Linked DNA regions of Xenopus tropicalis. The protein of the gene in region 2 interacts with the protein of the main gene of each other region in a pairwise test. Links are inferred from orthologs where the notes say so. Each region holds a gene or a part of one and is shown on either strand. Other genes may lie near its edges.

Region 1 (8,096 bases), on a different chromosome or scaffold from region 2:
AAACAATATGGATCTGAGTGTTACCATAATGCACAGAAGACACACATACACTATTTTATAAATCACACAAACACTGCCAGTTCAGTGACAGTAGCTGGCTACCAGCAGAGGACGCTTTTAAGCCAAGGATAAGCTGCAATAATAAATATAATGTGTTAGCAGCAGTCTGTTAAATGCTATCCAGACACAGCAAGGAACATGCAGATAGGCCAGGGGCAACCAGAAGAGAAAAACTGGGCAGAATATACTGAAACTAGTAGTAGGAACCAGCATACCCACTGAGTGAAGTCACGAAGATAAGATGTTCCTGACAAACACTGTGGGAACGAAAATCATCAGAGACAAGATATCATATACCATCGTGCACATGTGGGCCCACCACCCAAAGTACAGTTACATTCCCAGTAACACTACTCTCCCAGAACATTCCTAATCGGCTGCCCAGCATGAGTCCTCAGAAACAATATTATTCAACATTAGATAAAAACACTTCCATAGCAAGATGCCTGTACAGTGCTCACCTTCATAATTAATGCAACCATTAGCATCCTCATGATTACTTAAAAGGGTCTCTACTTCATCATCTGTCATCTTCTCTCCTGTGGAACAGAAACATTAAGGGTTACGTAACAACTTCCATAACAAGCGTAAGGTATGTTCTCCAGCAGCTGAAAATGATCGGACACATTATAGTAGTCGGTAATTTGCATTAATGGATCAAATATGGTTCAGGTGCTGTCCTGCTAGTTAAAAAAAAAAATCATCATCACGTGCGCCATAAGCCTAGGTGCCATACAATTTCTTCTGGTGTGATGCCATTCAACATCCCACTGACAAATAAAAAATCTAATTTATCTTAGGCCTTGCGAGTATCAGTCAGTTGTTCTGCCCATTGTTCTGATCAATGGTAGTGGATAGTCAGCAGGCTAGCTAACACACACATAGCTTGCAAGGGATTGTGTTATTACCGAGGGAAACCAGGACATGACGCAACTCGGAGCCCATAACTGTGCCATTTCCCTCCTTGTCGAAGACTCTTAGCCCTTCTATGATGTCCTCCAATCCAGGTACATCCCTGTTCTTGGCAACTGTTTGCATCATGGGGAGGAATTGCTCGAAGTCAAGTGTCTTGATGTTCATGTCTGCAGGAATAAGAGACAGAACAAACTAGCACCAGCCATACAGGTAAAGCCCCCTAGATAGAAGGTTACATAGCCAATAGGCTAGACATTGTTGCTGTTTCAGGTACTTTACTAGCAGTTGTGTGGCACAGTATGATGGTGCTTTATGTTTTGCCTGCAACACAACCAGCAAGAATGGCTGCAAAATATTCTCCTTCATAAACAATGGGAAACGCCTGTATGTATGATGCAATGTTGCAATTACTGGTTCCACCGTGTTTGCATGTAATAACCCTCATCATATATCTACAAGTGATTCTTAGTTTAATGAGAATATTTAACTACTAAGAGAGCCTTTTAAAGGAAAAAAAAAAAGTGTAAATATAGGCAATGACATGAGACACTGGCCTCTAAAAAAAAAAAAAAAAAAAAAATATTTTGAAACTGCCCAGCATACAGAAATATGGAGCGGAGCACACAATACTCCCTGACAATACCCAGGGCACACATTTACTCAAGGCTCTCATTCCTTGTCTTTTCTACCCACCTTCAGGCTTTGGGTTTCCCAAAACCTTCATCACCTCAGCATTAGTGGGGTTCTGCCCCAGTGCCCGCATGACGTCCCCACACTGGCCGAAGAGGATTTTGCCATCGCCGACACGGTCAAAAAGTTGGAAGGACTCCTTGTAGTCTGCAAAGTAAAAATGAATTGAAATAAGTTAGGGCATGAATGGCTGAGAGAAAGAAATGGCCCGATGCAAACTCACCCAGTAATACAAAGTGTGGGGGTCAGTCACTGGCAGTGACACAGTTACTGGAGCAGCTTTGCAGAATTGGATGCACAGAGAATTCATTGCATTAGCGCAGAAATATTTAGTTAACTAGCACAAGGTGACAGTGGGTCACGGAGTAACCACACGGACTCTTGGTATTTACCAAATAAAGATTTAGGCACTTTTCCTGTTCATGCCCCCACCCTTCACAGGTCCAATATTTTGTCAGGGGCCCTTTATATAATTTATCAGTGATGTTTAGTATATCTAGAGCTGCAAATATGCATTCCCACAAATTCCCATGCTAACTGACCTTCGGACTGGGCCCATGTCAACACTGCAGGATTGCGCCATAGGCAGGGGACCAATGATACAGGACACAAGCAGACAAGATTTCAGAAGCTTTGTCCAAGTAAGCAGTATAAAATCACTCTCCATTGGCCCCTGTGACAACCACCTTAACGCAAACACACACGCGTCAGCATGCAGGGTCAGCAGTGCATACTTACAAATGTAAGGGCACATATATTCCCAACAGCACAGCTTATTGTTAGCTTTCACATACTGAGCACTAACTTACTCTTTGCTCCCCTATAACATGTACTAACCAACTATATACATATAAATACTACCAGGCTTCCTGGGCTTTACTATATTCAGAAGTCTGAACATGATCAGATGGATCTCTGCTGTCCAAAAATCTGCATTGCCCTGCTTTAGATGTTGCTGGACTACAAGTCCCAGCATGCTTTAAATCTTTAAAAAATATTGACGAATGATGGGATGTTGTAATCCAGCAACATCTAGGGACCTGAAGGAACAGGACTCCCACTGCATATAACAACTTCCATTATATATATATATATATATATATATATATATATATATATATATATTTCTACATCAGTTTCCTCAAGTATTTGTTGCACAGCTATAACATCTGCACAAATGTCTTGGCTGAAGCTGTACGGCAGCCCTTAGACTAGAAATAGTAACTGCAAGCAATCAGGCGAGTGGGGGGGGGGGGGATCCCGGCAATTTCCTTCCTGTGGCACTCCCTAACCTGACCCCTCCTGCTGGATTCCTTTCAGAGGAAATCATTTCAAATGGAACGTTTCCCTCTCTGCCACACAGTAATACGCCCAGTACAACCCACAGCAGATCTGAGGCTGGGCTGCACCAACCCAGTGAGGGAAGAGACAATCCAGCCTGCAGGCATCAGCCCGGCAGGAATGCAGGGAGCTCAGCCCCATCCTCCTCACTGCCAACCCCTCCTCTGCTGACAGTTCTGCACTGACAGGCTCAGAATGAGGCTTTGTTACCATATAAGGCATCCAGAGAACAGCCTGGCAGCCATTTTCCTCTGAGGAGAGGGAGGGCGTGTGTGTCAAAGAACAATGTAGGTACAGGAGGAACATAAACACTGTCTGCGCCAACACGCCCAGAGCCCTGCAATAACCCGATACAGGAGTCTTTAGCCATAGCTCTGATGGATACAATCCAATTACATGTACATCCATTATGTCTATTACAGGGTAGTACTGGCATGTCCAGTCCACCATGGAATTAGCCTTCTGCAACAAGAGCTGGTTAGAATGTGAATTAGAACAAACCCCTCCCACACACACAGGGGGGTCCTGCACTGCTGATAAAATTAACCCCTTATTTGCCAGAGATCCTGGGTGCTTAAGCCTAAAGTAGATTAGGGAAAAGGCAACAACACATTTCATGCCAATCACAAAGTTGGGCAGATTTTGCAAAGAAACAGAACACTCTGGCTAACTTATGGCCAAACATGCATCACTGCAGAACAGGGAGGGGCAAGGCTTGTTGCTGAACTAGAGTTCCCAGTCTCACAGACAGCCAATCACTGGCACAGGAGCTTTAATGACACAATGTCTGGGAGAAGGAGGATTGTCTGTTTGGGGGGCCAAGCAGAACCCCAAGATTAGAAAAATAAAGCTGAAGGTGAGTAGGGAAGGAATGAGTGCGGGGTTAGTGTGAGGGGCACCCACTTACCGGCCGGCTGCTCTGGGTACAGTCAGGCTTGAGAGGGCAGAGAAATGAGAGAGACAGGGTGAGCATGATGGGAGGAGGGAAGCGAGGGAAAGACACTGATGAGCCTGAGCCTATGGGGAGACGGATCATCACTATCTGGCCGCGTATAGAGACCAAGCGAGCACTTACCGGCAATCTGGTCGTCGGAGTAGTCGCACTGTTCAAAGCAAGAGAAACACAAGGCATCAGACAGGCATAGCCTCCCCAACACACCCACCCACTAGGCCCAGGGCGACACGGGCGGAAAGTGATCCCCAGCAACCTTGCCGATGTCTCCCACATGTAATAGCGGCAATCTATAGGCATGGGGAATTGTGCCAGGAAAGGGCATTGCATGCCAGCGGCAAGAACATCTGCCAGGCAATGGAATCCACCGATGTTGCGCAATCTCCTCACTAGCAATGGGACAGACAACTTGCGGCCCTCCAGCCTTTATAATGCAACTTCAACCTGAGACTTTTGTCTCATCAGGTACTGAAAGGCCGCAGGTTGGACAGTCCCAGCTTTGGGGTTAGACCCCTAGGGAAAGACTATCAGCTGCCGAACACTCCTCACCATCTTGACGCGTCTTCTCCCTTCCGGAATGTGAATCGCAGCTCCCGGTTTCTTCTCTTTGTAGCCCTAACTACGTCATCTCCCCGTCACCGCCCCAAGCCCTGGCAACGTCAAACGCAAATATACGTTGTGCGCTCTCTGCTGGCCAATAAGCGGAACTGCTTGGGATGGGTTTGTACTTTTATCGCAAGTGAAATTTTCTTAATTAATAATGATTTAATCAAAATTATGTTATATCTAACATTTTAATTTTTGTATTAGGAAAAACATTATTTACACACACACACAGATAAATGCGTAAAAATGTATATATTTTACTGGTCACTTATGTAATCACTACATTATGTAATCATAATTATTTTATAATATCTAACACTTTCATTTTATTTATTAGGCAAAAACAGAAAGGTTTATTACTTAGTTACTTAGTAATAAACCTTTCTATTTTTGCATTTACATTTTCTCACAATTCTTTAAACCCTAGGAGTGCTGTCATTGTTCCAGTATATATATATTCTTACAGAGCTGGTAGGGAGCAGGCACTCAGGTATTTTTATATCAAAATGCCTGGGTGCAGTATACAAAATACAAGTGTTACAGTTGAAACAGAATACCACACTCACAGGACTTAGTGAAAAAATGTAGTTATGTTTTATTGTGAAAAACATCTATCTAACGTTTCGGCCGTATCCACAGCCTTTCTCAAAGTGAACAAAGTAATTACAAACCCACTCTTAAACCCACAATGGCGCCAAAATGTAGCGCATTTTTTCACTAAGTCCTGTGAGTGTGGTATTCTGTTTCAACTATATATATATATATAGTCTGATATTTGCATAAAAATTTATATATTGTACTGGTCATGTATAAAATCTGCTTACCAAATGGTATATATAATATATTTTATATATTTGTATATATACTATTTCCTATAAGGCCGAATACTGCGTTTTTTTTTCAAGGATTCGGTTTCGGCCGAATCCATGCTCTGCACCGAACCGAATCCGAAAGTGCCCCCAATTGCCCCATAGAGTGTACCCCCCATAGAAAGTACCCCCAATAGACCGCGCCGTGCCGTGCCCCCCATAGAAAGTACCCACAACAGACCAAGTCATCGTCGGCTGCTCCTTCTCTCTTATGCTGTGGCAACAGGCCCTTTTATAAGGTTGCGCCTGTGCATATGAAGTCACACGTCAGCGACGAGGTGCAACCTTATAGAAGGGCCTGTTGCCGCAGCATAAGAGAGAAGGAGCAGCCGACGATGACTTGGTCTGTTGGGGGTACTTTCTATGGGGGCAATTGGGGGCACAGTTTATGGGGGAAATTGGGGCACTGTGTATGGGGGCACTTTCTATTGGGGGCACTGTCTAAGGGCAATTGGGGGCACTGTGTGTGGGGAGGACTGTCTATGGGGGCACTGTGTATGGGGCAATTGGGGGCACTGTGTATGGGAGTACTGTATATGGGGCAATTTTATGGGGGGCCTGTGGCCAGCATAGCGTTAGGGGGGCCTGGCCAGCATAGTGTTAGGGGGCACTGTGGTAGGGGGGCCCTAATACTTTTTATGTCTGTGTGTCCTGTACTGATGGGAGGGGCCCTGGGGGAGGGGGGCCCAGAAAATTTTGTTGTTAGGGGCCCCGTGATTTCTGATGGCGGCCCTGCCACCATGGGCAGCCACGGACCCACAGCTGGATCTACTTTTGACAATTATGACATGCGCACCGCATTTCAAATTCAATCAATCACTTGGAGGTTTTATAATCTATACCAAACACAGTTACATTGCCAACTGCACAGATGAGACGGTTAAAGTAAATGAAGTCAGGCTTCCATTCTGCTGGTATAGCTGAACAGAGGGGTCTTATACTGGAGGTTACATGGCAACTTCTGCAGAGATGAAAACCTATAGATACAAAGCAAATGTAACCTTGTACCTTCAGCTTATACATTCCCATTGTCACTACTAGTGAAAATCCTATTCCTACCAGTGTTATTCCCTCTTTTATGCTGGGCTTCAGTGATAGGTGCTAGCTTGTAGATTAACTCAGTAAGGGGGCAGGAGATGGGCTATTTGCTAATGCTATTTGAATTATTTACTTTATGTGAAATGGCCTTGGTGCCAAATAAATACATATACGGATCTTTCCCGCCGCGCCACCATCACCATTAACTTTCATTTGCAGCAACATACAGTAGGGGGTTCCTCACGGTGAGGGCAGTGAGGTTGGGGAATGCCCTTCCTAGTGATGTGGTAATGGCAGATTCTGTTAATGCCTATAAGAGGGGCCTGGATAAGTTTTTGAACAAGCATAGTATCCAAGGCTATTGTGATACTAATATCTACAGTTAGTATTAATGTTTGTATGTATAATTTATGTATGTGAGTGTATAGGATAGGTCAGTGATATAATCTCTGCAAGTATGCATTTGATTTTTTTTACTTTCTTTTAACTTAATCAGTGCCTCAAAGGTGTTGCTGAACCTAAACATTAATGCTTTATGATCTAATTTATATTTATTTATTGATTGTTGTACTTGTATATATGTGAATTGTTACACTGGTGAATTGTTAATTGGTATTAGCGATGGTGAACATGATTATTTTTAGGTTTAAGTTAATGACATAGACTACTACTATGTGACCGTGCAATCATCACACTCCCAGTGGCACCCCCTTCCTGTTTGTATCATCACACTCCCAGGGGCACCCCCTCCTGTCTGTATCATCACACTCCCAGTGGCATCCCCTTCCTGCCTGTATCATCACACTGCCAGTGGCACCCCCCTCCTGCCTGCACCATCACACTCCCAGTGGCACCCCCTTCCTGCCTGCACCATCACACTGCCAGGGGTCCCCCTTCCTGCCTGCACCATTGCACTGCCTGTTGCACCCCCTGCCTGCACCACTCATATTCACTAAACAGCCCACAAGAATGGCTGAGGCAGAGGCGATTCTGTCTTAAATGCTGCCCGAAGCAGCTTTAGCAATGCCGCCCCCCTTAGCCCCCCATGCTTATTTTTACAGTGCCAGAGGGGTCTAGGCAGGGGCCGCATCGCTAGTACAGGGAGCGCAATTGCAGGGTGCTGCTGCCTGAAGTGAGTATCTCATCTTGCCTCATGGCAGCAGTGACCCTGGGCTGAGGTTCTCTTTAAGCTAAGCCTTAGATACCCTTTTATTGCTTGCCTGCAGGAAAATTGTAAATACTATGGTACCTGCTATCAGGGAGCTGCTGATGCTGTTAAATTTCTGTTTCTCAGGTACTCTTTGATAAATGCCTTGCATAAATATTACAGAAATATTACATTACCTCAAATGGTACAAGCAAAGCTAAATAGACTGAGGAGCACCAATTTCACCTGTGTATTAAAAATCTCACTTTTGCCCCGGGCAGGTGCTCTTGTTCCCAGGATTATTCCCATGTAAGCACCGTGCCCAGCCTGCTGCCATCTTACACTTTTTCCCAGGGATCTTTGTGCCTCAGTCAGACTTCCAGACTTGCACAATACACAATACAGCAGCTGTTTCCATCTTTATTATACTGCATATGCGCAAGTATACTACAGCACAGGGCATCCTTGGGCAAACAGG
Region 2 (7,333 bases):
GATGTTCCTGGTCCTCTCAAGGCAACTTCCGCGATTTCACGGAAATCACGCCGCCGCGTATGCCATCCCACCGGCGATTTACATTTTTGCTGGTGGGATGGCATTTCGGGGAGATTAGTCGCCCGCGAACAGGGAGATTTGTTGCGGGTGACTAATCTCCCCGTGTGCCAGAGCCCTTAAAGTAGTTGTTCACCTTTGAGTTAACTTAGTATGATGTAGAAAGAGTGATATTCTGAGATAATTGGTCTATCCTTTTTTATTATTTATTTACATTTCTGTTCATTGGTTTTGCAGTTTGGAGTGGTTTAAATAAGAGACTGGAATATAAATAGGAGAAGAGCCTGAATAGAAAGATAAGTAATAAAAGTAACAATAACAATAAACCGTTTTTTTAAAACAAGAAGGCAAATAATTCAAAAACTATAAATAAAAACTATAAATAAAAAATAATGAAGACCAAATGAAAAGTTGTTTAGAACTGGCCATTCTATAACATATTAAAGGTAAACTTAAAGGTGAACCAACCCTTTAAGCAGATATTCAGATATTAATTTCTTTTATAGCATATACAGTATGCACAGCACTAAACTGATATACAAAGCCTTTAAGAAAAAAAGATGTACAGCAGTAAATGCTAAATATTTAAAACATTTACAGATGGCTGTATGTAAAAGTATGAACCGAATTCAGAAGCAATAATAAAATTAACCATGTTATGTATTAAAACTAGACTCCCTTCCATTAGTTATCAGAGACAGGCAGACTGTGACTTTGAAGCCCATTGAATACATCGGTAATCAGTGTCATGGCACAGTTTAAATATTTACTTTATTTTTAAAATGTATTTTTAGAGAGAACTACAAAATATATTGCACTTATTGACAATGTAGGCTTGTCACAGTCACTCTCACTTTGAAACAAGACAATAATATTTCAAAATGTATTATTTCAGAATGCAACCTACCTGCTAAGAAGCTGTGGGAGACTTGAAATGATGGGGCCATATCCAGGAGCATTGTCGTACAATTCAAATAAAGGGGCTGCAACAAGTTTGTAATTTTTGGGCACAGCAAATAGTGCTAAAGGATAAATGAAACCAGAAAAATCATTTAAAATAATTTTCCTTTTAAATTGTAATTGTCTAGAAAAATAAAGCAACCGATTAGCTATTTGTTGTAAAGCAGGTGACCTGTTAAATATGGTTTAATTGGAGAATTGTATTATATAATCTGCCAAAAGTCAATTTTATCAAGTTTACTTATTAGCTGGGAACTCCTTAAGAGTAAAGCCCATGTCACACCAGGTGTTTTCTCTACTGGCATATCTGTGCTGGGGGAGAAAATGATGACCTTCCTTCTGCACCTATAAGTGCACTGAAAGGCTAAATTCTGGCGCAGAAATGCATACTTTCCATGTTCCGACCTGTCTGTACCCTAACTGGCCAATTCTGTGCCTGTCAGTGCACAGTGATGTCAGGGCAGGGTTAAACAGATCTGTGTTTTCTCACCCGACATATATATATGCTGGTGGGCAAAACTCCTGGTGTGACATGGCCTAAATTTAGAAAAATGTAAGACACAAACAAGTCATTCAGATCATCAGATAATTATGGCTATCTACTTGCAATTTAATGCATGCCTGAGGTCTGGTGCATTAAACACACCTTGACTTGTTAAGCCTTCAGTCCTCTAGTATAAACTAGGGGTACAACAAATACAAAACACAAAATTTTACAGTATAGATTCGGACAGATACCAATAAAATCTGAACCCATATTCAATTTTTAAACCATGAGATAAAAACATTCATCTTTTTTGAACATAAATTAGTTGTCAAAACACATAAGTTGGATGCAGTTCAAGAGCTAAATAGATAATTAAATATTTGGGACCCTAAACCAACACAGGGCAAATCTGCATGTGAGTAGTAACTCATACAACTTTGCACAGTATCCAACTGATCAGCCTGACTGAACATAAGAAGAGAGAGGTAGCAGTAACAATTGAAACAGCAGGTACTGAAGACAACAAGCCATGGCTCCTCTTAACAGCCTCATTTTCCAATTCACTAAACACCATGATACAGGTTTTTTTAAACAGGTTGATCCACAAACTGGCCGATATCCATAGTACATGAATACTGGTCGAGATCATCAGCTTGCTAAACGTGCTTAAAGGACATGTAAACCTCCGCAAAAAAATTTAACCAGCGAACAGCCTTTTTAAAATCTTTATAGATACCTGGTTGTTAAAAGCTTAATTGTAATGCTACAGCATCCCCTTAATCACTTAGGATTCCTTCTCCTCCTCTAACCCACTCGGGTCCCCTTTTTAAGGAACAGACTCTGGCTGTTGGGTAATGAGCATGCTCAATTCTTCTCAACTCAACTCAGATTAAACACACTCTTCTGTCCAACAGCCAGTGAAGAGATGGCATTGCTGGTTCCTATAAAAACTCTGCTCTAGCTGTCTGCTCCTAATTTTTTTCCTAATCCCCTACCCTGAGCTTAATTTAACTAGTATACTGCTCAATCCAAGAAGGACTTTTTACCAAAATTCTGCTTGTGTAAGCCTGCATTCTTCATAGCATAACAGATGAAAGTTCTGTTTTCAGTTTTTATGTATTAGTATCCCTTTAAGAAAAATCAGATAAGCCAGCATCTTACCTTTCTCCTGCAACTGAACTAGGAACAATTTCTTGTGTTCTTTAGGTTTTGTAATATGAGCAGGAATGTATGGATACTGCAAAGATAAATAGGTATTTATCAACATACATACATACATACATACCATGACTGGGTTGTTTCAGTAGTTAAAGACATGTTAGGGAGAGGCTGAGGGGGGAAAGATAATAAAAACAGCCAATTTGCACGTCTGCTTTTTTGACAGCTCCCCATGAAGCATCAACATACCACCTAAATGTTTCTCTTTTTCACAAACAAACAATACAATAAACTGTATGGAGTTCTTGTAAAAAGTCTGGAAGTCTAAACATAAGAACTGGCCAATATGTTTGTTTTACAAAAAGAACACATTATACATTGTAAATTACTGCTTTTGTAAAAACCCCTTTATTTCTAAATATATGCAGTTACAGCTGTGCTTAATTGCTTATTTTATGCCATCTTCTGCAAGAACAGTAAAAATGTTCAGAAGGTTTAATATAAACACTGTTATATGTTTTATTTACTTTATGTGATTTGCCCTTTAACAAAAAATGTGAATCAGTAGTTACAATTAAGGTTAATTTAATTTAAAAAATTTTTGTACTAAATCATTTATTTGCAATACACATTTATTCTGATCCAGTATATTCATTTTCCCTAAGAATTTGCCTACTTATAATAATACAAGCTGAATGTGTGTTCTCATAGTCTCTACAAAAAGATACCATAAGCTTCTGGCAGCATAGGTCTAACCTCTTACCTAAGCATAATTTCTGTTAGAAAAGTTCAAGGCATAGCTGCCCCTAAAGCCAGTTTATTTCTTTAGATCAATGCTCACCAACAGAATACCAGTATATGAAATTGTGAAAATGGCTAGGACCGGAGAAAATGGGCAAATAAGCTTAAAACAAAACCAAAACAAAATAAGCTTAAAGGACATGTAAACCCCACACATAAAAACTTAATCAGTGAACAGCCTCTTTGAAATCTTTCAATACCTGCCACACTGGTTGTCCAGAGGTTAATAGTAAGGCTGCAACATCCCCTTAATCACTTAGATTTCCTTTTCCTCCTGTAACCCACTCGGCCCCCCAGGAATTTGCTTTGGCTGTTGGCTTGTGGGCATGCTCAGTTGTTCTAAGCCAAGATTACTAAACACGCCCCCCAGTCTAGCAGCCAGTAAAGAGAGGGCCTTGCTGGTTCCCATAGAAACTCCGCTCTAGCTGCCTGCTTCAATTTTTTTTTCTAAATGTAACTGATTATATATCAGAGGAAAAATGGCCACTGGGTGAAAGCTGCTATTTGCTTTTAGGAAAATGTGATGGTGCTGGCAAGCGGAGGGGATATATGCAATACAAATTATGCCATTTGGGTGAGGGAGATGTGCCCAACTGATATATATTGTAGGCAAATGTAGGCTTTACATGTCCTTTAAATAAGTGAACAATTTATCATCACACAGAAAGATGCTTCATGGCACAGTGGTGAAATATATGTAATACACTGATCCAGGGTGTGAAACTAGTAACCTAGATAATGCTAACAATATTAAGTTTGACACTATCCTGCAAGCAAAGTAGTGGTGCTTTCTTGCATAAATACATACTATTATACCAAAAAGTAATCACTGTGTGTGTGCAGTGAAACTATATCCTCAACTATTATTGTACACTGAAGATAAAATAAATAGAAACTCAATTAGCAGCAAGGTTGATGTTTGCTTTAACATTAGGTATAAACTGTATACCTGAGGAGGTTCAAAGTTGGGCCTCCACCAATTTCCAATACAGTCATCAATAACCCAGTCCTGCTGAACTCCATCTTGACGGCCAAGTATCTAGAAAACAAAAATAATGTTTTTAATATTTAGACCCGTGTGAAAGACTCCTTGTAACTCCTCATGTCACATAAACTTTTGAAGAACAGGCATGCACTCCTTGTCCAAAGCTTTTCACCAGGTGCAAATCAGATGAGGAATCTCAGTACTCCCCCTCCTTTACCACAGTCCAAAAAATATTCTGATGCACTCAGGTTTTTTTGTATCAAAATTCGAAAAACATTTTCTTTATTATATCAACGTTTCCACACCACAGAGTGGTGTCTTCCTCATTTCACATATTTATAAAGCGCCAGCACGCACAGAAGATACAAATTACATACAAAGAGGGCCCTGCTCAATACAGTTTACAATTTAAAAGAGAAGGGGGTATGAGACAAGTCAGCCACTCATATTGAAAATGCTACTTTGGCAAGGTTACCAAATGAACAGATGTTTGTCTTTTTATCTACTTGTGTGGTAAACACACTAGAGCAGATCCAAAGCTTTTACTGCAAATTAATCAAACAGAGGGTCCAAAAAAAAGTTTTCTGCTTGTCCCAACTGATTACAAATATACATATACAAAATACCAGATGAAGAGCACACCAAAATTTAAATGCGATACCTGGGTGCCAGAGCAGCAGACATGGAATAAAAAGTAAAAATGTCGGCACTCAGAGGGTTCTCACGATAATACTCACAGGCAATAAGTCATAGTAAGATACAGTAAGGTGAGGTTTACTGATCCAACGTTTCGGGGTTCTAGTAAGGAACCGAAACGTTGGATCTATAAACCTCACCTTACTGCATCTTACTATGACTTATTGCCTGAGAGTATTATCGTGAGAACTCTGTGAGTGCCGACATTTTTACTTTTTATTACATATACATACATACATATACATTCAGCAACGAGTATCTACCTCTACAAAAAAAAATTTCAATGGTAATCACTCCCTTCCCCTTCATAAATCAAAATGCGTATGCAATGCACATTGGCTGCTGCCATTTTTGACAAGTCCAGTGCCCAGACCTCCTGGAGGCCACCACCCGTGTCCCTGATCTGCATTTTACCAACTGGTCCAGGGAATGGGAGCAGAACCTAAAAGCTTCATTAATGTGGTTTGGAGTGGGGTGAATGTTCCAATTTACATCCAAGATCACCAAGTTTACAGCACAAAGGTAAAAGATCAAATATTCACTTACTTCTGTCATTAAACGTTTCAAACCTTCCACCTCATCCTCTCCTGGATTGAGTTCTCCTCCAGGCCTTTATGGAAAAAAAGTATAAACATATTCAACACAGTGACCATAGTAGAAATCTTTCTCAAACTCCTTTAAGTGGTTGTTCACTGTCCAAATCCTATTAAACCACCAACAATACTGTCAGCGTGTCAGAAAATGCATTTTCCATAAAAAATGACCCAGATATGGGATCTATTATATGAAAACCATATATCCAAGAAGGTCAGAATTATGGAAAGTCTATCTCCTATAGAATCCATTTAAGTAAATAACACAGAAAACCATTATTTAAAAAAAATCTTTATTTTTTGTGCGCGTGTGTGTGTGTAGATATATATCTATACACATTCATACAACTCCCCAAATGGCTAGATAGCAGCATTGTATGACATGTGTAGTCAAACCTTCTCAGCTACTACAGGTCTACTAAGAATAAAAAAGAATATACTGGAAAGTTCATGAACTCACAGTTTGAAGAAGGTGGTGCCCAGTTGCAGTAAGAGCACATGAGGCAATCTGTGTTCATGTACAATAAGAACCCCTTCTACAGTGCGTCGCATCCCGATCTTATCAAACTCCTCGCGCATGCGCTGGAACCTTGCAGCCACTGAACTGTCCTTTTCATACAAAGGCTCTTTGGTGCCAAAAGTGTAATTTGTAAGGGGATACCTACAAAAAAATATATTTTTAGTGGAAGACAAATTATTTATACACTCCATAAATGAAAACAACTGCTGGGTATTCTACGCTGCCACTGCATGAAGCCAGCTAAACAAGGGAAATGGGTCTGTGCCTATTAGTATGAGTGAGATATTTGCTACAGGTAAAAACTATTGGTTCAAGTAGTTCAAATGAAATATCAAATATTGCAGACATTAAAGGAGAACTCTACCCCCTGGGCTATAAAAGCCCCCTTAACTAGCACTGCCTTGACCCCCCTCACCTCTCCCTTATCACATTGTTTCTAACTTTAACAACTGTCCATTTGCTAACCCCAACCTAAAACAGCAAAGTAGCACAGCTGCATACCTGGCCGACATCTTCTTTGCAACTGAACACACTGAAATCTGCTTAAACTGCGCATGCGCAAGCAGGGTTTGTATCGGCAGAGAGACCCGAAGTGTGTTCAGTTACAAAGAAGATGTTGGTCAGGTACTTAGCTGCGCTACTCTGCTGTTTTAATTTGGGGTTAGCGATAGGGACAGTTGTTAAAGTTAGAAACAATACGATAAGGGAGAGGTGAGTGCTAGTTAAGGGGGCTTTTATAGCCCGGGGGTTCTTCCTTAAGAAGACTTATCTAAGATTTATTAAACATTCTGTATAGCTCATTGGATTTTGCATTGTAATACAATACATTTTATCTTGAACTTGAAAAGTTTAGTTAAACAAAAAAAAAAAACAAACAAAAACCCCACTGTTTTTATTACCAATTTGTTTCATAATTCTGGGCACCAAATAAATGAAATAACAGCAAATACAGTTTTGAAAAACAGTTTCAACCCCTCCCTGACCACTGAACATAAACTACAAGCAAACTCTAGCGATAAAAGGGGCCTGTCACCCTAAGAAATAATTCAAAATCCTTGTGTGTCATTTTAGTCAAG
Region 3 (8,030 bases), on a different chromosome or scaffold from region 2:
TTTCTTTTTCTAAAAAAACCCAGATCTCGAGCATTCTGGATATAAAAAGAAAATATTGATGTGATTCGGCACGCTGGTCCTTCTTATAGGTATTTACATGTTTCGACCTAGCACCCACCTATTGCACCTGTTTAGAGTGTGGACACACAATTTGACTTTATTATATTATATATATATATATATATATATATATATATATATATATACAGAAACAGAAAGGAGCACACCCATCAGGCAAACGAATGCCCTCGGTGCTGGTCAAAAAAAAATTAAATAAGCAAACAGAGTACCGCACACATAGGGACTTTATGAAAAAACAAAAAAGGTTTATTGAAATAGATCCGACGTTTCTAGCACAGTTTGGTGCTCGAAACGTCGGATCTATTTCAATAAACCTTTTTTGTTTTTTCATAAAGTCCCTATGTGTGCGGTACTCTGTTTGCTTATATATATATATATATATATATATATATATATATATATATATATATATATATATATATATATATAAACTTTTGTGCATGTGTTCAAGGTTGAATTCAGTGTTCTTTGTCTGCATGTTAAAAGCACTACTAGGCACCAGTGTGTATGTAGCCAAATGAAAAAGCTCCACATGCTGTGCAACAAACCTTTGCTGGATGTGGCCCTTGCTACAAACTTTCTTCTTTCTTGCAGTTTCTCTCGAGTCTCTTGGACAGTCTCAAATTCTGGAGCGTAGCAGACATGAAGCATGCTGCCAAAGAAGCTGCGTTCATCTAACTTCCGTTTTGCGACTCTAGAGAAGTGCAAGATAAATTTTTAAGGATAAGGGGTCTTTCCATAATTTGGATCTCCATAAAAATCATTAAAATATCGAATAAACCCAATAGGATTGTTTTGCCCCCAATAAGGATTAATTATATCTTAGTTAGGATCAAGTACAAGGTACTGTTTTATAATTATAGAGGAAAGGGTAACGGTTTTCCGGATAAGGGATCCCATACCTGTACGAAGATATCACATTCTAGGTTTAGATTTCTATGATATTTATATTTAAAAATTGTGCTTAAACTCAAAAAAAATTACACTGCATTGTATTATGTTGGAAAAAAAAATCTTGCGGCTGTAAAAGGTGGATTAAATTTTTATGCAGACGTATGTATTTTCACAATTTTTCTTCTTTGATAGTTCTTTTGAATACAATGATGGCCAAGAGTCTGAGTACTTTTGCAAGTCAGTGTGTACAGCAACATTATTTACCTTGCACTCTGTATCCTCTGAAATTTAATGAGGTACACCTCAGTGAATTCTTCAGCAGGGTATTCATCCAGCGCATTATACTCTTCTATGGTTCCATAAAGGGCAAATTGCTCAATAAGCTCCTTCATTACACCGATTGCTGGAACCCCTTGCACCAAGAGGTACCGTGACTCCAGATTTATAGTGTACACCTTAAAAGTAATGGAAAAGGTTAGCAGGAATTGCCAGTTTTTGGGGGTTTTCTTTTATTATTATTATTAACATTTATTTATAAAGTGCCAACATATTTCACAGTGCTGTACAATAAGTGGGTTTCATACACTGGACATCTAAGCAATCAAAAACCGATACAAAAGGTGAAGAGAGCCCTGCCCAAAAGAGCTTACAATCTACAAGAAGCATAGTTTTATAATTCTCAAAGTGAAGTCATTCACTTGGAAGGATAATGGTAAGAGAAAGCGCTTTCTATAGCATCTATAGCACTACTGGTGGATCAGTAACCTTGTTTTAAAATAATTGTTCTTAAAACATTTTAAAACTGATTGCCATTTGTTTCTTTCTTCATCTCGTGTGTTTTTCTTTTTGGAGGGAGACTTCTAGCCAATCCATGTGAAACAGGTGAAATAATAGGTGAATATATAAAATTTACTTTTAAAAAAAGACAGTGACGGGGTTGTTTCTCTATCCACACTTGTAGCATATATTTACGAGCAGCTGCAGATATGATAAACAGTACTTTTCTACTCCCCCAATAAGTCTAGTATTTGGTAGGGATACCAAACATTGTCAATTTTGGTAACATAGGAACATAATCCATTTTGGTAACATAGGAACATAGTCTAGCAAGTTATCAATGGCATAACAAGTTATTGATACCCAAAACTTTTTACTATGAGGACATGTCCAGAAACAATTAAATAAATCTGCCTCCAGAGAGTCCTATTTGGGACTGACTTTTGGCGAGTAGTAGGCTCAATAAAAAGAATTTTAGATGCATTTCTTTATATGATCCCATTGGAAGACATTTATTTGCATACTGTAAGGCCTTGAGACATTTGTAATTGAGAAAATTTCAGAAGCCATTTGTTGTGTCCCTTGGTGGAAGAAGTATAGACTATCTGCTTATATAATAGACAGGGTTGGAATGACAGCACACGCAGGATGTTTTTCAAGAAGAATCACAGAGGTTTAGGGCCCTTTTGTGCTTAAAAAGGTTTGTACTGCACTGTGATGTTACTGTCCCTGATGAAAGTTCCAGATAGGAACTGAAACGTCGGACTGAATAAAGCCTCACATTTATTTATCTAAACCTCTGTGATTCTTCTTGAAAAACATCCTGCGTGTGCTGTCATTCCAACCCTGTGTATCTACGCTTTCAGCACTGGCACCCAGGTATTAACTTGCTCTTATGGTGTGCAGCTTTCCAGCAACTCATTTCTGCTTATATAATAGTTTAAAGCCCAGTGATATAGCTCTCTTGGCGGGAGGATGGCTATATAATTTTACTGGTATCGCTTTTGAAGGAAAGCCAGTAACTTGCTAGAAAGCACTGGATACTTTTCTTTGGCTTGAACATACGTTAAAGTTTTTCTATTTGCATCATCTGTAAAATGGCTTAATCAAGCCAGAGTGATACAACTGTTTGTATATGCCATGTTTGCCATACTGTATAAAGCAAATGGTTATCTGTCCAAGTATTCAGCAAGGAATCAACAGTTTTTAAAGTCCTAAACTAAAGATTTCTCTGCGCAAAAGCCTGATTCTTCATTAGTACCACAGATTTGTGTGTTATATAATTAACGCAGCAACTGGGAATATTGTTTTCAAGGCATGGGGCAAAATACAGTGAAATATCACCAAAAAAAAGCCTGTTCCAGGCTGCTAAAAAATAAACATTAATCTTTCAGTAGAACAGTGATCCCAGTGATCAAATGGCTCTGTCACAGGCCTGACCTCAATCCAGCTGAGAATCTCTGGCATTATATGAATAAATCTGACTGGGTGCAATAGCCGAGGGCTACAGGCACAAAACTGAGATGAGGCACATTTTCAGTTTTTGGTCAAAATATAATTTTTTTTATTTCTCAAACATTTAAAATTTAAATGCACATCAGCATCTTACATTTGTCACATGATATGGAAAGCTTAAAACAGACCCTTACAAGTCAATCTTGGTAAGCGTCAAATTTAAACTTTTTTTTTTTTTTTAAATATACCCCTCAGTTTAACGTGAACCCAGTAACTGAGTGCATTATACTCTTCTTTATGAAATTAAAAGAAAATAGTATCAGTTTGTGTGTGTTTTTTTTATATGCAGACATGTTAAGTGTGCTGGTTGTATGAGAATGTGTGCAGAGTGAAATGATGTAATGTTACAGGGCAAGGAAAGGGAAACTGGAGTGTGTGCTAGGGCAGACCCTGCAGTTGGAAGGGGGCCCAGGAATGGAAGTGGCCCAGGAATGGAAGTGGCCCAGGAATGGAAGTGGCCCAATAAGACCCTAATTGATGAGAAATGTCAATGTATCTTGGTAGAATAGGTTAACATACAAATATTTTTTGGGCCCTAAATTGAAATTGTTGTGGTACCCCACTGGCTTGCAGTATACATGACTGCTGGTGTAACTAGAGACCACTGGGCCCAACCACAAAATTATCTTTTTATTCATAAACATATATTTAGCCTTATCAGTTGCAGCCACTGGGTCTGTGACATCTATAATTACAATCATGGGAAATAGCCCATAGTTTATAATGAAACCTACTGCCTCCAAATGGTGAACTAGAACTCTAATCCCTCTCCCACACTATTCCCCTATCAGTGGGTGCAGATAAAAAGGCAGCATTTTTTCCTTCAGTGGAACAATATGCTCCTATGTAGAAACAGAAATCATTACCAGTTCCCACACAGTGCCCAATTAAAACCACATGAATATAGAAGAGCTAACATTCTTATGGAAGCTGTAACTCAGTGATAACTCTAGGGAGCAATTTCTACGAAGGGAAACCTGCTAGAGCGGCACTGGCGCTCAGTCCCACCGCAAGAATACGCTGGAATACTAGTTGTGTGGACGTATAAAAACCAAAACAAAAACTGTAAATGTTTCACGCACTTTGACTGCTCTGGGCCTCCGTCCTTCGCGGTACTTGGCCCGTGAGGCGCATATCTTTCGCTGCTCATGGTGTGCGTAGGCCTGCACTTGCACTGCTGCGCTTTCTGCCATCGGCTTCTGCTGTCTAAGAAATAGTTCCCTCTCTCCCTGTACCAAACACAGGCCGGGACACAGAACCAATAGGCGGAAAGGCAGCAGAACCAATAGGCGGAAGGACTGCCCCGCACACAGGCGTCATTAGAGCACGCCATTCTCTGATTGGGCGGGAGGTACTATACGTCAGCAGACACAGGGTGAGTGGGATTTCCTCGATTGTCAAAGGTGAAACAGCGCGGAAGTTACCCAGTAGGCATGAAGGAGCTGATAACGTTAGCGATGGAAGTTCTGTTACTTGCACGTTCGTCATACACAGCGCTGGAGTGAAGGGGGTTGCTGTGGGTACGCCACAGTAGGATGCTAGGTCCGGGACCGCCCGGGGCTGCTGTGTCCCTGAAACTCACAAGTGCTAAGGACACATTTTTGCGTGTGACACCTGAGGTGCTCGCACAATTACGCCTGGAGCAGGTAACTCTAACCGGGGCCCGTCTGTCCGTGATGGGCAGCACTTGTTTATTTTAATATGATGCCTGTAATGGCCCTGTCCGGGCACTAACCAGGGCTTTGGGATTCTCAGGTGATTCTACATGGAAAGCAGGAGGGAGTTTAGTAACATGACATGAGGTGTATTTGTGTAGGTGTCAGAAAAGGATTAATAATATCAACTGGGATAATAGCCTCTGGGAAGGGACTGGGGCTGTGGGATAGCAGGTATAGTAGGGAGAGATGGTGCCTATAGTAGCAGTGGGGGGATAATAGCCTCTGGGAAGGGACTGGGGCTGTGGGATAGCAGGTATAGTAGGGAGAGATGGTGCCTATAGTAGCAGTGGGGGGATAATAGCCTCTGGGAAGGGACTGTGGCTATGGGATAGCAGGTATAGTAGGGAGAGATGGTGCCTATAGTAGCAGTGGGATAATAGCCTCTGGGAAGGGACTGTGGCTGTGGGATAGCAGGTATAGTAGGGAGAGATGGTGCCTATAGTAGCAGTGGGATAATAGCCTCTGGGAAGGGACTGTGGCTGTGGGATAGCAGGTATAGTAGGGAGAGATGGTGCCTATAGTAGCAGTGGGGGATAATAGCCTCTGGGAAGGGACTGGGGCTGTGGGATAGCAGGTATAGTAGGGAGAGATGGTGCCTATAGTAGCAGTGGGGGGATAATAGCCTCTGGGAAGGGACTGTGGCTATGGGATAGCAGGTATAGTAGGGAGAGATGGTGCCTATAGTAGCAGTGGGATAATAGCCTCTGGGAAGGGACTGTGGCTGTGGGATAGCAGGTATAGTAGGGAGAGATGGTGCCTATAGTAGCAGTGGGATAATAGCCTCTGGGAAGGGACTGTGGCTGTGGGATAGCAGGTATAGTAGGGAGAGATGGTGCCTATAGTAGCAGTGGGGGGATAATAGCCTCTGGGAAGGGACTGTGGCTGTGGCATAGCAGGTATAGTAGGGAGAGATGGTGCCTATAGTAGCAGTGGGATAATAGCCTCTGGGAAGGGACTGTGGCTGTGGGATAGCAGGTATAGTAGGGAGAGATGGTGCCTATAGTAGCAGTGGGATAATAGCCTCTGGGAAGGGACTGTGGCTGTGGGATAGCAGGTATAGTAGGGAGAGATGGTGCCTATAGTAGCAGTGGGATAATAGCCTCTGGGAAGGGACTGTGGCTGTGGGATAGCAGGTATAGTAGGGAGAGATGGTGCCTATAGTAGCAGTGGGATAATAGCCTCTGGGAAGGGACTGTGGCTGTGGGATAGCAGGTATAGTAGGGATAGTAGGGAGAGATGGTGCCTATAGTAGCAGTGGGATAATAGCCTCTGGGAAGGGACTGTGGCTGTGGGATAGCAGGTATAGTAGGGAGAGATGGTGCCTATAGTAGCAGTGGGATAATATTCCCTGGGAAGGGACTGTGGCTGTGGGATAGCAGGTATAGTAGGGAGAGATGGTGCCTATAGTAGCAGTGGGATAATATTCCCTGGGAAGGGACTGTGGCTGTGGGATAGCAGGTATAGTAGGGAGAGATGGTGCCTATAGTAGCAGTGGGGGGATAATAGCCTCTGGGAAGGGACTGTGGCTGTGGGATAGCAGGTATAGTAGGGAGAGATGGTGCCTATAGTAGCAGTGGGGGGATAATAGCCTCTGGGAAGGGACTGTGGCTGTGGGCATAGCAGGTATAGTAGGGAGAGATGGTGCCTATAGTAGCAGTGGGATAATAGCCTCTGGGAAGGGACTGTGGCTGTGGGATAGCAGGTATAGTAGGGAGAGATGGTGCCTATAGTAGCAGTGGGGGATAATAGCCTCTGGGAAGGGACTGTGGCTGTGGGATAGCAGGTATAGTAGGGAGAGATGGTGCCTATAGTAGCAGTGGGGGATAATAGCCTCTGGGAAGGGACTGGGGCTGTGGGATAGCAGGTATAGTAGGGAGAGATGGTGCCTATAGTAGCAGTGGGATAATATTCCCTGGGAAGGGACTGTGGCTGTGGGATAGCAGGTATAGTAGGGAGAGATGGTGCCTATAGTAGCAGTGGGGGGATAATAGCCTCTGGGAAGGGACTGTGGCTGTGGGATAGCAGGTATAGTAGGGAGAGATGGTGCCTATAGTAGCAGTGGGGGGATAATAGCCTCTGGGAAGGGACTGTGGCTGTGGCATAGCAGGTATAGTAGGGAGAGATGGTGCCTATAGTAGCAGTGGGATAATAGCCTCTGGGAAGGGACTGTGGCTGTGGGATAGCAGGTATAGTAGGGAGAGATGGTGCCTATAGTAGCAGTGGGATAATAGCCTCTGGGAAGGGACTGTGGCTGTGGGATAGCAGGTATAGTAGGGAGAGATGGTGCCTATAGTAGCAGTGGGGGATAATAGCCTCTGGGAAGGGACTGGGGCTGTGGGATAGCAGGTATAGTAGGGAGAGATGGTGCCTATAGTAGCAGTGGGGGGATAATAGCCTCTGGGAAGGGACTGTGGCTATGGGATAGCAGGTATAGTAGGGAGAGATGGTGCCTATAGTAGCAGTGGATAATAGCCTCTGGGAAGGGACTGTGGCTGTGGGATAGCAGGTATAGTAGGGAGAGATGGTGCCTATAGTAGCAGTGGGATAATAGCCTCTGGGAAGGGACTGTGGCTGTGGGATAGCAGGTATAGTAGGGAGAGATGGTGCCTATAGTAGCAGTGGGGGGATAATAGCCTCTGGGAAGGGACTGTGGCTGTGGCATAGCAGGTATAGTAGGGAGAGATGGTGCCTATAGTAGCAGTGGGATAATAGCCTCTGGGAAGGGACTGTGGCTGTGGGATAGCAGGTATAGTAGGGAGAGATGGTGCCTATAGTAGCAGTGGGATAATAGCCTCTGGGAAGGGACTGTGGCTGTGGGATAGCAGGTATAGTAGGGAGAGATGGTGCCTATAGTAGCAGTGGGATAATAGCCTCTGGGAAGGGACTGTGGCTGTGGGATAGCAGGTATAGTAGGGAGAGATGGTGCCTATAGTAGCAGTGGGATAATAGCCTCTGGGAAGGGACTGTGGCTGTGGGATAGCAGGTATAGTAGGGATGTAGGGAGAGATGGTGCCTATAGTAGCAGTGGGATAATAGCCTCTGGGA
Region 4 (7,333 bases), on a different chromosome or scaffold from region 2:
ATTTACAGGGTATGTGGTTACAGGAGACTGTGGAAAATGCTGCTTGTAATCTGATTATTTCTGATCCCTTTTAATAGATTTTCCCTGTAAACAGAGAAGCTCTGCCAACATGCTAGTGATTAAGCATAATGTGAGCAATTCTATTTACTGCCTGTACTGGCATGATTATTATTAATGATGAGCACACTGCTAAGTTTGTTGTTTTGTAACCTACAATGTGTAATAGACAGAAATTATACACGTGCTGGTTTTTAATGGATTTTCTGCATGCAATGAGCAATATTTATGCAATGTTTACAGGATATGTGTGTGAAGCGTGCATTTTAACTCTCATTCTGTAAATATTCATCCTTATATATTACATAATTATTCATTTTCTTATTAGCTATATCACTGCTACTCACAGCCTAATGCAGATGTTCCCAAACTGTTGGATGATAATGAGTTAAGGGGGCCCAGCCTGTAGATTGGTTACATGGGAAATTGGGATGAATGTTCATTTTGGCCTTCTAGCTATTCCTGGAAGTCAGGGATAATAATGAGGGGGAGGGGGGTATTTTTTCGTATTTGACTAGCGGGACCAACTGAATCGAGGTAAATGAATGTTTGCAATTTGAATAAGGCCCAACTAATAACTAAAAGCAACATTAAACAACATAAAACTAAACCCTAAAAACAAATATGGCCAGAAATGCCATATTTTCTATACTACTCACTGCACTAGCCAAAAGGTTCAGCATCTCTATATTAATAATGATATAGGTCTTTACAGTAGTCACAGGAGCTCCCCATCTTGGATTCTGTTAGATCTGTCAGTGGCACTGCACGTGCTCAGTGTGCTCTGGGCAGCTGTTGAGAAGCTGAGCTTAGGGGTTGTAGTAAATTATCAAGCTGAAAATTAGGCTGGCCTGTAATATAAACTGATGCTACAGGGCTGATTGTTAAATTCTGATGACAACTGCACTGACTTCAAAGCTGCCATGTAATGTGAATGTGAATGAGTATAGTATATTGTGAATGGGTCCCTAAGCTCAGGTAAGTGACAGCAGCAGCACAGAGTATAGGCAGTGAATAAGGAGAAAACAAGACGAGGAGCTAATGGGGGCATCTAAGGAGGCACAGAAGTCCAGTACAGAAGCCCAAAACATAATGTGCAGCATTTCTAGCCTATTTCCTTAGTTAAGCTTTAGTTCTCCTTTAAAGCTTGCCCGGTAGTAGTGATGTGTGTGTTGACCAGTACAGGTCCAGTTTGGGCGTGGGACAGACTGGAAAAATACACTCCACCTTTGCTCCTACAGATTCCCTAGGCAACCCGGCCGAACCTTCATATTTGTGCAAACAATCGAGTGTGCCTGAGACAGGGAGTGGAAAGTAATGAACATGGGGACGGTGGTGGGACAAGGGCCTAGACTAGGGGTATGTGAAAGAAGAGGTACGTGCATAGTGCCCCCCACTACCGTTGCGCCCTAGACACATGCCTCTTCTGCCTATCCCTCATTCCAGCCCCTATTTCCTGTCTTAGAAACAAAACCACACAAGAAGTAGCATATGGAGTGGAAAGATGCAGGTATGGGTCGGGTCTTGCAATGCCAATATTTTGGGTGCGGGTCAAAGTTTTGAGGGTCAGGGTTGGGTATGAGTTAAGGTTTTGCGGGTTCAGGTCAGGCGGTTGTTGAGTTTTTCCTGCCCCACACATCACTACCGGATAGGTATTTGCGAATATTTCAATTTACTTTTAGAAACAAAGCTTTTATTCCAGTGAAAGTGTCTGTTTAGTAATTAGCGGTGTATCTATCCCCGAGCAGCAATAAAATTGCGGCTGCATTAATAGCAAATGAATGCATGAAGTGAATGGAAAAGAGCTGATTGTTACGGTACAGTGTAAGTTTCAGGATCACTAAACCAAAGAATGGTTTATTCTTTCTAAGAACTAGTGTAACAAAGGATCTTCAGGACATAGAATCTATCTATAGCCTTTAATAAGTTAGGTCTAAGGTAACTCTTAACCTATGAATGCTCCAAATGAGAACATGGGCCTTAATGCATTCCATACGTTCCATGGCAGAGTATCACGTTTACCTGCAAGCTTCTAAATAAAAGTATCATAATGTTTAGTTAACAAAAGGTCTTTGTTCTACTAAATACATAAAAAGTGAATTATGGACGGTTATTTATGCAAAATGTATTATATATTAGATTCGCATAGATTGCTTCATTCTCTATCAAGGCTGTAATCAAAGCTGGGCAAGGTTTGTTTTTTCCTCTGCAAACTTTCAGCCATTACTGGTTTGTATTTGGTTTGTATCTACTGGTTTATATCTGCCACAATTGGGCTAATACCCAAGTGACAGCACTGGAAGGCAATAAGAATTATGAAAGAAAGAAAAGAACAATGGCTCTCATATGAAACTGAATCTGCAAGCAGGTTAAAGTCGGCTATATTATGGGCTAAACGAGGGGATCTTTCACCACTTTGTCAACCTAAGGTGGGCAATATTAGGCCGATTCAATTGCTTGGCCCGAGTGCAAAACGACTGGATCTCAACAAATGAGATTTGGGTCAAAGACCCCATCAACAAGACGACAAGGTCCTCAACTTGAAGGGGAAATCAAACCTGCCCTTCAACATATACTTCATTTTTGGTGTTACAATATATATTGGTTGCTTCATCGATTGTAGGTCCTTTTCACTTTATACTGTTCCATCATTTAGGCTGTTAGAGCAAACAAACAGACCAACAGAAAGGTGCCCATACGGAGTATAGCCACTCATTTAGTATCAGTCTATCACCCAGCTGATCAGATATAGGCAGGTATATGGCAGCCTTTAGGAACACATTTATAGCTGCAAAAGTAGGCTCTATAACAGGAATAACACTACACATTTATTTCTCAACATTTGCCCACTTGACAGCTGAACAGAAACAGTTTGAAAAGCAAATACAATTACTTCAAACTTAAATAAGGAAACCTAAACAGAGACAGGTAGGGTGCCATTAACATATTAAATACTGCTGCACAGAGACCCTGAAGACCCCTCCCAGAGTTCCTGCCCCTTTTGTTGTATCTGCTCCTTAGCCTATTCAAGACCATTCTGTTTTTCACAGGCCATTAATTACTAGGAATTTGTCCAGCTAAGACCTAACCCTAATGTGCCATAGGCAAAACACTTCCCTCTTTAACTTCACTATTACATATGGGTCACCAATCTGTTAGGTAAAGTTTCCACTAACAGTAACAAAAATGGAATCAAAATATGGTATATAAATGCAAATGCAGAATTTCTAGGCTTCCTGAGAATAAGTTTAAAGGAATACTGTTATGAGAAAACTTGTTTTTTCCCAAAACCCATCAGTTAATAGAGCTTCTCCAGCAGAATCCTGCACTGAAGTCTGTTTTTCAAAAACACATTGTTTTATATTTAATTTTGAAATTTCACATGGGGCTAGCCATATTCTTCATTTCCCAGGGTGCCACACCAATGTGACCTGCACCCTGATAAACTTCAGTCACACTTTACTTCTACGCTGCAAATTGGAGTGATCCCCTCCCCCCCCAGCAGCCGATCAGCAGAACAATTGGAACGGCAGCAAGATAGCAGCTCCCAGTAGGTATAAGAATAGCACTCAATAGTAAGAAATCCAAGTCCGGCTTGGGACTCTTCCAGTTACATAGGAGAAACAATAGGTTAGCTGAAAGCAGTTCTAATGAGTAGCGCTGGCTCCTTCTGAAAGCTCAGACTCAGGCACAATGCACTGAGATGGTGCCTACACACCAATATTACAGCTAAAAAAATCCATTTGTTGGTTTAAGGAAAAAAAATTAAATGGTAGAGGGAATTATTTGCTATGTTAACAGTGTAATTTAGAAATAAAAAGTACATCAAAAAAATTATGACAGTATCCCTTTAAGAAACACCAGTATAGACTTACTTTCTTCGTCGATTTGTCTCTATGCTTAATTTCTGCGCTCGAATTCGACATAATTTTTGTTCTTCCAGCAACTCCTGTCTTTCTTCATCCAAGTTTATTTCCAGATGTGATTTTTGGTTTCTTAAAGCAGGACTGAGTTAAGGGATATGTCTTGATTGATAAATGTAAATGCTTATACATTTGACTTTGTTGTTGTTTATAATGGTAAATTGAAACTATCAGCTTTCAGCAAAATATTCATTCGTACTGCCCAATTCTCACCCTTACTGGCCAACTCTAAAGGTGGCCATACACGGACCGATTCTAGCTGCTGATATTGGTCCATTAGACCAATTCGGCAGGTTATCAGCCTGTGTATGGGCACTAACGACGGGCCCGCGCGAGCGATATCTGGCCTAAAATCGGGCAGGTTTGATTTTTCATTGGATCAGGGACCGCATTGGCTCGTTGATGCCTGGACCAAAATATTAATTGTTCATTTATATTAAAGGGGTTGTTCACCTTTGAATTAACTTTTAGTTTGATGCAATGTTTTATTATATGTGGTTTTTAAATTATTACTCTATTTGTTCAACAGCTCTCCAGTTTGGAATTTTAGCAGCTATCTGGATGCTAGGGTCCAAATTACCCTGGCAACCAAGCAGTGATGTGAGTGAGACATTGGAATATGAATAAGAGAGGGCCTGAACAGAAAGAAAAGTAATAAAATATATCAACAACAATAAAATAGTAGCCTCACAGACTAATAGTTCTAGGGTCAGTGACCCCCATTTGAAAGCTGGAAGAAGTTGGAAGAAAAAGGCTAATAATTTAGAAACTATAACAAATAAAAAATGAAGACCAATTGAAAAGTTGCTTGCCATTCTATAACATACTAAAAGTTAATTTGAAAATGAACTGCTCCTTTAGGTAACAACCTATAATTATGTCACAGATGAGCTACAATGGTACATGTGTAAACTCATCAGCTAGCTTTTCCTTCACCAGCATCTCACCATGCTTATACATATGATAAAATGGTTTGTTCTTCCTGCCTTGACAATTGCTTGTCTGTTTACTCATTTGAAAATCACAATTGCTTGCTACATCGTAAAGCATGACTTCACTGCTCCCCACAGGGCATAGTAGACATCAGTCATATTAATATCATAAAGTATCCTGAATTGTCAAGGAACAAAGCAGCCTTGTAGTTTTATTAATAGATTATACAGACTTATAGACTTAATTATAGAACACAAAGTTTCTGCAGCACTACAACACATCATTCAACGCTGTACAAATAAAAGGTTTGACTTTGAAGTGTGACGTAATGGCAGCCGCACAATGAGAAATATTTGCAATATAGTTTTAGCTAGATCAACGCTCGAATGCTGCAATTCAAATTTTAGTAAAATGCAGACAGTGATATTCTAATACAATCTGCAATTTTTTAAATGAACGATTTAGCTTTTTTGATCAGCAACTCTCCAGTTTGGAATGTCAACTGCTATCTGATTGCTAGGATCACGTTTACCTTAGCAAGCAGGTAGTGGTCTGAATGAGAGCCCTGGAAGATGCCTAGGAGAGGATCTGAATAGAAAAATAAGCGATAAAAAGTAACAATAATAACAACACTGTAGTGGTATGGAGCAAAAAAATTTTGGCTGCTGGTGTCAGTCACCCCCAGAAACTATAAAAAATTATCATATATACCAAAAAAGGGGTAGGAACTCAAGAAATCACGTAGGTCACCAAAAAGTATAATAAAAACTAGGGATGCACCGAATCCAGGATTCTGCCTTCTTCAGCAGGATTTGTGTTTGGCTGAATTCATGCTCCCGGCCGAACCAAATCCTTATTATTATATAAACACGGAAGTTGAAAATTTTTTGCAGCACCTTAACCCTTCCATATCCTAATTTACATATGCAAATTAGGATTCGGTTGGGTATTCGGCTGAATCTTTTACGAAGGATTTGGGGTTCGGCCAAATCAAAAAATAGTGGATTCTGTGCATCCCTATAATAAAAACAAAAATGTTATTAACGCAACATATCAGTTTCCTTAATTAGTCATAGACAAAGGGGCCCATTCATTAAACCACAATTATTTTGTGGTTAAAATCACGATATGCAAAAAATTCGGAGTTACCATGATGTGATTTTCAAACATTTCATATGTTAGAAAACGTCACGAAAATATCTTGGTTACGGTTCCAAACGTTCGGAAACAGCACGAAAACCTTTCTGACTTTGAAACCATCAATGTATGATTTTGGAAGCCACCCATAGGACTCAATGGCACTCTAGAGATCCAACCTGGCCAAAAAATAGTCACGATACCAAAGCTTGAATGAATTCCGAAATGGCCGTAGTCTTTGCGAAAAATACGACTTTTTTGTGTAAGTCAACGAAAAGCAAGAAAAAGTTGTGGAATTTTAAACTATATTATCGTGGACATTACGAAATCGTTGTTTACTCCAGAAAACCAAAGCGGAGCACAGAAACCATGTATTTTTATTAAGCATACAATTTTCTGAATCCAAAATGGGTAAATGTTTTTCTACTCCAAACTACCGAAATGCAAAGCTTTACTAAAGTTAGCTTTTTTTTTTTTTTTTTTACAATTTACAGCATCTTATCTCTCAAATATAGTTATGTATAAACATTAAACAACCTAAATTGAAACGCCAGGGGTCTTCTGAAAGTTTGATGCCCAATATGCATAGGATTACACAACTTATATCACCAGCAGAGGCCTCAAAAAATGAGAAAACTTGTAAATAAAGATTTCACAGGCTAAAACATGTAATGGGGAACATTGCAGAATGCAATAAAATAACTTAAATCCAATAAAAACCATCAGAGCTAAAAATGCAATAAAAGCACCAAAACACACCCATACGCAGTGTGATTTACTGCCACATTAGTCACACAGCCAAAAACTTTTATAAGGCAAAAAAACATGTAACACAGCAAAAAAAAGTTAAAAAAAATGTATATAAAAGGTATACTATTGACTATGCAATAATACAGGCATGGGATCCCTTATCCGGAAACCCATTATCCAGAAATTTCTGAATTACGGAAAGGCCATCTCCCATAGACTCCATTATAAGCAAATAATTCTAAATTTAAAAAATGATTTCCTTTTTCTCTGTAATAATAAAACAGTACCTGTACTTGATCCCAAATAAGATATAATTACCCCTTATTGGGGGCAGAACAGCCCTATTGGGTTTATTTCATGGTTAAATGATTCCCTTTTCTCTGTAATAATAAAACAGTACCTGTACTTGATCCCAAATAAGATATAATTACCCCTTATTGGGGGCAGAACAGCCCTATTGGGTTTATTTCATGGTTAAATGATTCCCTTTTCTCTGTAATAATAAAACAGTACCTGTACTTGATCCCAACTAA

What was found.
Region 1: the proteins of nudt21 (region 2) and myl6 interact in binary tests that used the Homo sapiens proteins (3 or more experiments, as listed by UniProt). The two-hybrid records come from large-scale screens. The link is inferred for Xenopus tropicalis from reciprocal best matches to the Homo sapiens genes NUDT21 and MYL6.
Region 3: the proteins of nudt21 (region 2) and rbm48 interact in a two-hybrid assay, tested with the Homo sapiens proteins (2 studies listed by BioGRID and IntAct). The link is inferred for Xenopus tropicalis from reciprocal best matches to the Homo sapiens genes NUDT21 and RBM48.
Region 4: the proteins of nudt21 (region 2) and cep126 interact in a two-hybrid assay, tested with the Homo sapiens proteins (2 studies listed by BioGRID and IntAct). The link is inferred for Xenopus tropicalis from reciprocal best matches to the Homo sapiens genes NUDT21 and CEP126.

What each region holds. Positions count from the first base shown.
Region 1 is NC_030678.2:137,524,725-137,532,820, forward strand, and holds the start of myl6 (myosin light polypeptide 6), read right to left. Parts: upstream 4,520-8,096; 5' UTR 4,511-4,519; coding exon 4,508-4,510; intron 4,110-4,507; coding exon 4,082-4,109; intron 1,813-4,081; coding exon 1,669-1,812; intron 1,143-1,668; coding exon 969-1,142; intron 600-968; coding exon 522-599; intron 318-521; coding exon of another isoform or gene 289-317; exon of another isoform or gene 276-288; intron 1-275. UniProt on the Homo sapiens protein: Regulatory light chain of myosin. Does not bind calcium.
Region 2 is NC_030680.2:51,659,749-51,667,081, forward strand, and holds part of nudt21 (cleavage and polyadenylation specificity factor subunit 5), read right to left. Parts: intron 6,399-7,333; coding exon 6,198-6,398; intron 5,755-6,197; coding exon 5,691-5,754; intron 4,503-5,690; coding exon 4,413-4,502; intron 2,742-4,412; coding exon 2,666-2,741; intron 1,080-2,665; coding exon 965-1,079; intron 1-964. UniProt on the Homo sapiens protein: Component of the cleavage factor Im (CFIm) complex that functions as an activator of the pre-mRNA 3'-end cleavage and polyadenylation processing required for the maturation of pre-mRNA into functional mRNAs.
Region 3 is NC_030682.2:31,761,170-31,769,199, forward strand, and holds the start of rbm48 (RNA-binding protein 48), read right to left. Parts: upstream 4,576-8,030; 5' UTR 4,461-4,575; coding exon 4,350-4,460; intron 1,431-4,349; coding exon 1,240-1,430; intron 776-1,239; coding exon 630-775; intron 1-629. Other genes in the region: pex1 (peroxisome biogenesis factor 1), read left to right, coding at 4,803-4,913. UniProt on the Homo sapiens protein: As a component of the minor spliceosome, involved in the splicing of U12-type introns in pre-mRNAs.
Region 4 is NC_030678.2:162,392,621-162,399,953, forward strand, and holds part of cep126 (centrosomal protein of 126 kDa), read right to left. Parts: intron 4,053-7,333; coding exon 3,933-4,052; intron 1-3,932. UniProt on the Homo sapiens protein: Participates in cytokinesis. Necessary for microtubules and mitotic spindle organization. Involved in primary cilium formation.